Linked DNA regions of Arabidopsis thaliana. The protein of the gene in region 1 interacts with the protein of each later gene in a biochemical or structural test. Each region holds a gene or a part of one and is shown on either strand. Other genes may lie near its edges.

The links. Proteins that work in one complex are often made in the same cells at the same time.
Region 2: the proteins of BTI3 (region 1) and RAB8 form a complex in vitro, tested with the Arabidopsis thaliana proteins (one study listed by BioGRID).

The regions. Positions count from the first base shown.
Region 1 is NC_003076.8:16,633,623-16,638,814, reverse strand, and holds BTI3 (VIRB2-interacting protein 3), read right to left. Parts: upstream 2,787-5,192; 5' UTR 2,586-2,786; coding exon 2,384-2,585; intron 2,167-2,383; coding exon 1,986-2,166; intron 1,907-1,985; coding exon 1,765-1,906; intron 1,681-1,764; coding exon 1,611-1,680; intron 1,522-1,610; coding exon 1,343-1,521; 3' UTR 907-1,342; downstream 1-906. Other genes in the region: CHX18 (cation/H+ exchanger 18), read left to right, coding at 1-261; AT5G41590 (LURP-one-like protein (DUF567)), read left to right, coding at 4,919-5,192. UniProt on the Arabidopsis thaliana protein: Plays a role in the Agrobacterium-mediated plant transformation via its interaction with VirB2, the major component of the T-pilus.
Region 2 is NC_003074.8:19,874,960-19,881,014, forward strand, and holds RAB8 (RAB GTPase homolog 8), read right to left. Parts: upstream 3,834-6,055; 5' UTR 3,736-3,833; coding exon of another isoform or gene 3,583-3,735; 5' UTR 3,431-3,582; exon of another isoform or gene 3,308-3,430; 5' UTR 3,306-3,307; coding exon 3,233-3,305; intron 2,805-3,232; coding exon 2,732-2,804; intron 2,644-2,731; coding exon 2,543-2,643; intron 2,442-2,542; coding exon 2,376-2,441; intron 2,223-2,375; coding exon 2,125-2,222; intron 2,033-2,124; coding exon 1,970-2,032; intron 1,874-1,969; coding exon 1,781-1,873; intron 1,656-1,780; coding exon 1,572-1,655; 3' UTR 1,273-1,571; downstream 1-1,272. Other genes in the region: AT3G53600 (C2H2-type zinc finger family protein), read left to right, coding at 573-1,100; AT3G53611 (uncharacterized protein), read left to right, coding at 3,583-3,735. UniProt on the Arabidopsis thaliana protein: Involved in membrane trafficking from the Golgi to the plasma membrane.

The sequences.
Region 1 (5,192 bases):
GTTAGATCGGCGATTGAGGAAGTGCGGCGGAGCAATTTGTTTTTGGTTGGTAGAATGCCAGGTGGAGAAATTGCATTGGCGATTAGGGAGAATAGTGAATGTCCGGAGCTTGGACCTGTAGGAAGCTTGTTGATTTCGCCGGAATCTTCGACAAAAGCATCGGTTTTGGTGATTCAGCAGTACAACGGCACCGGAATAGCTCCGGATTTGGGTGCGGCTGAGACGGAGGTATTGACTTCTACGGATAAAGACTCTGATTGAATGAATCATTGGTTAAAAACAAGAACGGTTCGGTTCGGGTCAGGGGTTGGTTTACCATAGTTAGTGAAAAGTTGGTTAATGAATACGGTTTAATCAAAATGACTGTACTTGGCTTTCACTGTTTCATCTTTTCTTTCTTTTTTGTCGTCACTGTTCATCTTTAAGTTTTTTTGCTTTTGAAAGTAAATGGTTAAATGATGACAAAAAAAAAAATAATGGTTGTTGTAAAAAAAGTTATCTACTTTAATCGGAAAAATAATAAATTTAAAAATCCAGTCATTGAACATAAAACTAAAAACAGAAATGTCAGAAGTGGGGTTTGAACCCACGCCCTCTTACGAGGACCAGAACTTGAGTCTGGCGCCTTAGACCACTCGGCCATCCTGACTTTTGATATTGTTTTCTACTACAAACTATATATAGTGATTAACACCTAGTTGTCTACCTTACGTATGTTGCTTACTTTAAGTAATTATCCAGATTTGATGGTTATCATACCGAAAGCGTTTGGTATTGTGGAATCCACTTTTTGTGTGATTATTTTTGTCGAGAAATCGTGAAATCGCAATTTTGGCAAAAGAATTATGAACAAATTTTTTTGGAAAATTATCAAATTGCGTTTAACCTAGTTCATATACCAATCATTTTAGCTTTTCCTATGAACAAGATGTTGAGATGATGAAAGAGATGGAATGGGAAGAATATTATTAGTCAAATAAAAACAAGAAAGATTCTTATGAACTAAAGTTAGATCGCAGTAGCAGTGAAGAGCGAAAAACCCACGAAACAATTTGAGTTTATGTGTATGGACCAATCCTCAGACATGATGCAAAATTGACATGACGAATACCATCATGGAGAGCTGTTAAAAGGATGAGAAATTAACTAAGACAAATAACTAACAACAATAATTATCATCCATCCGTGTTCTCTCATAATCTAAATATTTTTAGTTAAAACCCCCAAATTTATAATGAACATAATAATAACAAGAGATCAAAGGGTTTATCAACCAACAGCTTCTAACAAAACATGTCTTGAACCATTACTACGATTCCAATGAGAGAGTAACTCACATTCCTTAATCCTTCTTCTTGTTCAGAGCTCCTCTTGGAATCTTGCTTATGACCTTACGCAATACCTTCTCATCAAGTACTGCATATTGCTTTTTGATCTCCCTCATCGCCTTCTCCCCATAGGCATCTACTTTGTCCTCATACTTCTCGTAGAGTACAGGAATGGTGAAGAGAAGGACAGTAGCTGGAAGCAAGAAAGAAAAGCTGGTTATCAAGATATGCAAGTATGATTCCTATCAGATTAAATGCAGTAAGATGTAAATGAATCGTTACCAGTGTAGAACAATGTCAAGAAGTTGTAGCAGCTGCCAATAATGGACAAAACCCACAAGCCAGCAATTACCTAAAACATGTGCAAGCAAGTATTAGCATTTATGAGGAACATAAGAAAACCGCTTTGCATCGAGGTAGATAACATGAACAATACCAGGATAAATTTCTTGACATCTTTTCCTGATGCAATGTTCCTAAGAAGGGTCAAACCACGATTGATTTCAATCCTTAATCCAGAAACAAGTTGAAGAATAGGATCTTCAGGGATGTGAACTTCCGGGATGTGAGGAGTTGACCTGAGGATAAGAACTCAGTTGATCAGGCAGTTATCTCATACTTAACACTTAACATATAAGGGATGTTGTAAGAACATACTTGTGGATGAATGTACAAGCATTAGACCACAAGAACAATGCTGCAAGAGCAAAAATCGCAAAGTGACAGAGAAAAGCGAGGAGATGGTATTCGAATAACTCGAATAAGACCCAAGACGCAGTTACAGCACCCAAGACTCCACCAGATACCTTCTTGTTCCTCCAAAGGAATATATCAGCAGCTACATGCAAACAATGAATCCAGATTCAACATAGTTTCTGAGTATTTCACAAGATTTAAGCGTACTTTCGAGCAAAGCAGACAATTAAGCACTCAAATACACTCAATTTTAGCTTCAAATTAGAGCAACATTCACTAGATCGAGCAAAATCACTATGTAAGATACAAAATCGAGTAAAATCAGAGTTCAAAGTGAAGAAATAGAGATAGATCCATACGTTTTCCACCACCGAGAACCTTGTGAACAGGTTTCTCCCTTCCGAAAAGTCGGTAAATCTTTGACTTGAAGGACGACGACGAAGACGATGTAGATTTCTTATCGTCGTCGGAATCGGACAGAGAAGACGAGTCACCGTGGCCATGGATCTTCTCAACAATCTTCTCCAAGATCGATTCCTCGTGCTTGTGGTCTTCCACCATTTTTGTTGATTCTACAAACCTCCGAGAAGAAGAAAAAAAAACCTAAAACTCTTTACTGATTGAAGAGTGTGGGAGGAGACTGTGACGAATAAAAGCGTGTGCTTCAGATTTAATCCCACCCCTTGATTTAAAACATTTAATCCAGTCCGTTTGATTCGGGTCTGGGCCTCGAGTAGGTAACCGTCCACGGTGGAAAATCAAACTATTTATTTTGTAGCAGATGTAACATATTTGGCGTGGAACTAACGGTCGTTAATTAATGTGAATATTCCCGATAACGTCTCCGTTAGTGGAACGTTAGATGTCGGCGGATAGGATCCAGCATTGGGCCCATTTATGGGATTGTTGGTACAGTATTAAGGCCCATTTATTACTGATCCATTTCATAGTAAAAATAAAAAATTGTTAGGCATAGTAAAATTGTTATGAGAATATGTTGATAGAATGAAAATGCTCCTAGATGAAAGATGATCATACACCTGTTGATTAAACATTACAAGGTCACAGATTATATATATTGACATCTCAAAAATTAACCAAGACGCTGCGTTTTGGAGATATTGGATTTCGAAGACCCGGAAGATAAGAGGAGAATAGTCAGTGACTCTCACGCACGTGGGGTTTGAATTGATGACTCTGGTCTCTTGGCCTCGAGATCTAACTTCTTCCGTGGGATCCAATTTTGAGCTGAGTCATGACACGTGTTACAACACGTGTGCTCCACTGTGTCGACATCACTCTTGAAGGTAAGATTTTTTGGAGTAATGGCAAACCCAGAGATCAACAAAATCAGGTTTGACAATGAAAGCTCACTTATTTATTTATGTACTTTTCCAATAATTTGATTAGTCCAAATATATTATTCTATTTGGATATTCATTCATATACATAATTACATACACATGCAGTGTTAGAAGTGAGTTTAATATGGAAGATTCGTCGTCTAGTGTGACATGAAATTCCACCATTTCATATAATTAGATTTTCTTCTTATATATATAATTTTATGCATCTAATCGTGTGGATGAGAATTGTCCTTCACCTAACCAACCTTTTCGAAGAAAAAGAGAGATTTGTTTCTTAATATATCTTCAGAAAGAGAGAGAGATTCGATGACAAAAAGGATAAGAGATTCTTGGAGACCTCAAAAATCTACTATCGTGGGTCTAAGAAGATTACGTGGCTCGTTTTAAGACCCTTGCATAATCTTAAAGTTCTTACCTATTTTTTTTTTTTTGTCGTAAAGTTCTTACCTAATACAGTAATATATTTTTATATTGTATAAAATATTATACATTAATTAATCAAAAAAAAATTCCAATTCAATCCTGAAACAGTGAAACCCATGCGTGCCAAAGCCAAAAATCTGACTACCTTGCTAAGTGCTAATCATTACCCAATCAGAGTTCATATCAGGAATATACCATATCCATAAGAGCTATATACTAATTACTTGCAAAAGTTTGCACCAAACCTTACTACGTACAAAAGAAAAGATCGTAGATGGTCAAAATTGTGGCTTACTATAATGGCTTATTATATAGTTATTTTTAGATAGCTAAATTTCTTGTATATACAATTTTGAGTTTTACGTATAGAAAAAAATATCATATTTGAGTTTGGTAAAAAGGATGAGTAAATAATTTGGAGATTTCAACCTTCATGTTAAGTTTTCATTTTCGATTAATTTTATCTAATTTTTTATTTTAATTTCTTTGATAACCAAACAATGTAATTTAGACTAATCCTTTTGGACTTATAAAACAAAAACAATTTACTATATATGCAAGCTGTAATAGGGTGATTTGAGTTCTAGTCCACTAAATGTAAATGTTACGTACGTTAAATTTGTATTTGTAATGTGATAAAAAAAAATCTAATGACCTGTATTCATTAACTTAAAAAAAATTCTAATTAACTTATAGAATGGTATAATATCTTATCATATTGTATTATTTTTCAAATAACACTAAAAATTTTGACTCATAATTAATAAAACGTTTAAAGCTTTTTAGGTGAAATTCTTATTTTTATATTTTGTAGAATAGTACAGTTTTGTCACTAAGTATTATTTGTGGTCGCATTTAAATATCAAGTAGCGATATTTAAAAACTTTGCAAGTTGATATAAAGAAGAAAAAAATTATAATATAATAAGACAATGATATAATATAACAAAGCTAATATCTTTCATCCACACACATATATATTAGATCTATATATATATATCTCATATGTATACCTAACCTTACCATATTTGTATTGAGAATTGAGATTAATTAGATCTGTAAAACTCTCTTAAAATAGTTAACCAAGAACACCAAAACTACAAAAATGTTCCCTTTCTTGAAGCAACGGTCGAGGTCGGTCCACGGTGAAGATGCACCGTCATCTACAGAGTCCACAGTCTCCGTCGCTGCCGCAGATATTGGAGGAGCGTGTACGACACTCACGGTGTGGAGAAAATCGCTTCTGGTGAGTTGTGAAGGATTCACGGTGATAGATTCGAATGGAGATTTGATTTACCGGGTCGATAATTATGCCCGAACCCGACCCGAGGAACTCATCCTCATGGATAAAGATGGAAACTCCCTCCTCCTCATGCATC
Region 2 (6,055 bases), on another chromosome or scaffold:
TTAGGTGAGAAAAGCAGTTGTCAGATTTTGATTTTTAAGAATGCAATCATTTGACTTTTAGTTTGACTTCCTTTTGGTTCTTCTTAGCCACTCTTTCTCATATTCTACACGTGCTCATTAACGTTCCAAAGTCAATAAAAAATCACGAAGCCAACAATAAAATGTGCAACAAATAATATTAAACATGTTAGACAGACGAAAGAGAATTATTCTTTATACGTATTTAACATAATGTGCCTTGTCGGTTACCAAACAAAATAAAATATGGCTTGTTAGTGGTCGGTAATATGTAACACGTTGTGTGTTTGTTGTCCTTGTCAAACCAGCAATGCTGCTTAATTTATTTAGATAGGAACCCAAGTTTAAAGAAGACTTTTTTTTTGGTCAAGTAAGAAAATGTCAAAACCTCTGAAACTTTCTTTATTTTGTTTATAAATACATTACTCCATGAATACGTTACAAAGATCTTAATCTCACAAGTCTCACATTTTCTAGGTGGACCAACCAAAACCCAAAATCTTTAATTCCCTCTATAGTGCTCTTTTCTCTTTTCGAAATACAACCGTAAAAACATGAAGAGAGACCGGTCCGATTACGAAGAATCCATGAAGCATATAGACATAGTAGAAAGTCTAATGATGTTATCTCGAAGTTTCGTGGTCAAACAAATCGATGTAAAGCAATCTACCGGAAGCAAAACGAACCATAATAACCACTTCGAATGCAAAACGTGTAACCGGAAATTTGATTCCTTCCAAGCTCTTGGAGGTCATAGAGCTAGCCACAAGAAACCTAAGCTGATCGTTGACCAAGAACAGGTGAAGCATCGTAACAAAGAGAATGATATGCATAAGTGTACAATTTGCGATCAAATGTTTGGGACCGGTCAAGCTCTAGGCGGTCACATGAGAAAGCATAGGACGAGCATGATAACCGAGCAATCGATTGTCCCTTCTGTGGTTTATTCCAGACCGGTTTTTAATCGTTGCAGTAGCAGCAAGGAGATCTTGGACTTAAATCTAACTCCATTGGAAAATGATCTTGTGTTAATCTTTGGGAAGAATTTGGTTCCACAAATTGATTTGAAGTTTGTGAATTAGTAGGGTTTTAAACCTTTCTCTGTACTTTTGTTGTTGTTTTTTTCTCTCTTGCTACACATTATTTCATTCTTTCCGTCATGTATGCATACACAATTTGTTTGAATAAAAGGTTTCAATTCTTGCAATGAGTGATAAAACATTAATAGTTGAAAGTTTGAAACAGAACCATTCTCGAATGTATACATAGAATCCAATATCATTGGTGTGTGAGTGAGATAAACTGATATTATCATAAGTCATAATCTGATGTCAGAGAATCCATTCCAGAAATATGGAATACGAATTGTGTCCTTCACAGTCACACTATACCATTAGGGAAAGAGAGAATCTTAAAAGAATACGTAGAAACACCATCTCATATAGAAGAAAAGCAAAAGAAGATTGATTTCCTTTTTCATTTTTTCTTTCCAAATACCATTTCTCTTTCACTAGCCAGATTCTCTCCTTTGACAGGCGTCGTGGACCCAATTTTTATGTGCCGCAACATGCTGATTTCTGAGTAGCTTGAGATGTTCCCGCACCTTGGTCGGATTGGTTGATTTTGATTGTTTGCGGCTACAAAAATGATAAGAAATTCGATGACGTTAGTAAGGTTGATACACATACTGAAATGTGATTTTTACCACAATTGCAATGTATGAATGATGACAGTGGAAATTAATTCTATAGCTCAAACGAACCTCAGCTCGTGCATCGGTATCTGCAAGTCTTTGCTTAATGTCTTTAGCAATAGAGAAGAAAACTTCCTCAACGTTTAAGTTAGTCTTGGCACTCTGCAATTAGCAAACTCATCAAAGTTAACCATTTAAAAAGAATTAGACCTTTCCCTATATCTATTGAAATGTAACAAAACATAGACAACAACTTACAGTCTCGAAAAACTTCATTCCATATTCATCTGCAAGAGCTTGGCCCTTAGATTTTGGCACAGCCTGGAAAAACAAAGCAAATCGGTGTATTAGCCAAATAGAAACATATAATATTTAAACAGGACGAAGATAGGAGGGAGGGTAAAAGAAGAGACTCTTTTGCTTTCATCCATATCTGCTTTGTTCCCAACTAGAATCTTGTTGACACTATCAGAAGCATGCTGCTCAATGTTACGGATCCAATTCCTGATGTCTGGAATTGAAGAAAACAAAGGATGAAAAAGAACAAATTAGTTGAGTAGAAAATAATAAAGCTAGCAAATGGAAAAATATAAAGTTTAGAACCGTTGCAAGAGCTTGTTGGGTGGCATAAGGACTGCAAGTAAAAAGTAAAGAGAGTACTTACTGTTGAAAGATGATTCATCAGTCACATCATACACAAGCAAAATCCCCATGGCTCCACGGTAGTACGCTGCAATAAGAACAAACTACTCAGGTGTATTCCAGCGAGGAAGGCAAAGATGCATAAATAACAGCAAAAAGAGAAAACGAAAAGCAAGATCGAAAACACACCAGTTGTGATTGTGCGGAACCGCTCCTGTCCGGCAGTATCCCAGATTTGCAGCTTAATTCTCTTCCCATCGAGCTCAATAGTCCGTATCTTAAAATCAATCCTGTCAAAAACAAAAAGCAACTTGAGTAAGAACAGTGAACTACATAGAGGACGTGATAACACAGTGTCATTGCATGAAGACATCATACCCAATAGTTGTAATGAAACTGGTGGTAAACGAGCCATCTGAGAAACGTAAGAGAAGGCAACTCTTACCAACACCTGGTACATGAAAGAAAGCAAAAGTCAGATAAAACAGAGACATTAGAATAATCCACTGGAACATAGTGAAACACTTACTTACAACAATCAACAAAGGAATATTCAAATCAATTTGGCTAAAGCATTTGCGGCATTAACATCTAGAGAATATAATTAAATAGCTACAGCATTCATTTGTGATTCTCCTCCATCCTAATACCAAACTAAGAAGACTATGAACATCATATGCTCACAATTGTTGAAATGAGATCCAAATCTGAGTAAGATGTGTTACTCAAATCACTGTTGTCTCAAGATCCTTCAAACAAAACTTAAATTGTAATCAACAACAACAAAAATCGAGAGAATCAATCAACAAAAAGATAGAGATTGAATAAAATGCAGGGAACAAAAGGTAGTATTACGATCTGAATGATATAGAAACCTACCGCTGTCTCCGATCAGCAGAAGTTTAATGAGGTAATCGTAATCAGCACGAGCTCTAGCAGGAGGAGCAGCCATTTCTTAACAAAATCAAGTAATTTCCGAGAAACGGATCACTGGTAAGCAAAGAGAGCAAAAACTGGAGACAAAATTTAAATCGAGAATCAATTGTGTAGAACCTAAAAATCGAAAGAAGGAAGTACCAAATCTACTCGGGGAAGATAGATCGTCGGAAGCAAGCAAGACAGTAACCAGACGGCCGTTGAATTTTTTTCTTCCCCCGATTGGCTTTTTTCGGAGATTCAGAAGTTTTTTTTTTTTTTTTGGTTAGAGAGAAGAGGGAGAAGGAGAGGGAATGGATCTGGACCGTTGGATCTTGTTCGTGGAGATCTGTGTTGGTCCGGCGCGTGGTCTTCGGTTACGGTTTGATAAATTTCGAACCATGGGCCTTGGGCTAGTTTTATTTTTGTGTGCTAAATTTATGATTTGGTGTCCACTAAATGTTTAGTTTATTCTTACTGATCCAACCCAACAGGTTACAGAATTGATGAAGTATATTCATACAGTATATGTATTTTTCTATATTTCGTTCTGAGTTGCGTTGCGATTAAGCTCTGGGAAAAAAAAAGTTGTTTCAATCCCTTCACTTGTAAATAAACTCAATTATTTAACTCCAAGGGGACGCAAAGGTTAGGCAAAATAATAATAATAATAATAAGAGTTAGGCAAAAAGAGAGCGATTGACAAATTGAGGAAATTTGAATATATTGTCGTCGGTGTTAAGCAAATAATCATCCAAAGAATAAAGCGTGGATAGGAATCTACAATGATCCTACGTAGCATCTAATGTACTGCATGAGCATTCGTTTACTCAACCCCATCCACCGATCATCCGCTGCGGACAAGTCCACATCTTCACTTCTTCACGACCAATGAGGTAATGCCACGACGAAAGCCTTTCCTAAAATTACACGATCCATTTCCTTTTCTAAATGGATACGAAGAGTGTTTCCATTGACATTAAAGGAAAGCTAACTTTACTTAAAATATCGTCCTTGAGGTAACAAAAAAGTTTAAGCCCCTATACTGTCTTATTTAATGTTTTTTTTTTACTCTTACACTATTTAGTTCTATGTTAATCCAAATTTATCCAATTATTTCCGATATCTAACTATTATCCAAAAAAATTAGGGAATGACACGACACGACGTAAGCCTTTCCTAAATTATACGATCTAGTTTCCTTTTCTAAATGGATACGAAGAGTGATTCCATTGACATTAAAGGAAAAAGTTAAAGCATACATTCTCAGATTTGTTTTGAATGTAGACTGCAATTATTACGTTAATGTGATCGTCTTATTAATGCTTTTAACTCCAATTTACAATGAGATTCATGTTTATCCAATTTTATCCCAATCTCATTAAACTCTTACCATACAAAAAGTCAGAAAGATTATCCAAAACCTTCCGATATGAAAATGGTAATTATTTGAAATGCACGTGTATATTTATCATAAAAATTAATCATAAAACGGTGCTTACGGTGATGGTAATTGGTGACTTGTATCAATCAATGCCAGTAACCGATTATAATACGAGTTCAAATACCAAAAAAAAAAAGAGCTGTAAACAACAAAAATCCATATAATATCTAATACTTTTAAAAGTATAAATCTAATAATTTAAAATAATAATAAGTTAGTAATTTATTTTAAACTCCTAATATCAAAATAGTATAGAAATCCTATACTATCATAGGAATCCTAAAAGTATAAATTATTTTAAATTCTACTAATTTAATAGTTACCAGCTGAAAAAAAAAATAAAAAAAATAAAAAAATAATAGTTACCAAAATTACTATCATAGACAATCCATGCATTTTTGCATGAATCCTAATACTATATAAAATACGATAAACACCCATATTTATCATTTTACACATCTTTTTGTTTGAATTATCCATATACATTATGTATAGAAAGAAAATAAAAACGAATATTCACTTGACAGATTAACATATGCTTTTCTTTTGATTGCAGTTTGTAATCCACCGACAGAGAAATTGCGATGTCATAAATCTGAACACGAATTTTCGGTGCACTCGCCAACACCTGATCTCAACTCTCTCCAGCATATTCCCCAAATTAACAGTAGCTAACGGAGACTTAACGTGGACTCCTCGCAATCCGAGTCACTTTAACGTGTATCAGACAGCCAAACCTTACGTTGACCCCACCGCCGTTAGGAATTCCGTCTATGTCTCTTTTTCCATCATCCAATAAAATCTTGCCACATTGACACTTTCGGGTCCGGACATATTCCAAAATTAAAGAGAATTTAATTTATTGTTTTCCTTCCAGAAAAATATTAATATTCTTTCTAAACTAAAAAATGGAGTCTTCAAATAGCACAGAAGCAGAGACATAGAGCGGGAACGCGTTTAGTCACAGCTTTCTTCTCCTTTAGCTTTTCTCTCTACACTTGCTTCTCTCTCTCTCTCCTTTGGGTTATCCTTCTTGAGATCTGTGCTTGCGTTTCTTCTTCATTCGACGACACTTTATCTCGGGAGATTTCAGATTTGTCGATTTGTTCAGGTACGGATTTCGAAATGTTCTTTCAATCGGATTTGTTCTTCCTCGGAAGGTTTCTAGGGTTTTGGGATTGGGTGTCTTTAATCTGTTTGCATAAGCCATGAACGAGTTTTTTTGTTCCCCCGAGAGATCTTTGTGACTTGTAGATCTGAGTTGGGTTCCAAAATATTCAATCTTTGTGATGTATATCTACATTTTTAGATTATCAAACTCCATTAAAGAGAAAATCTTTGCT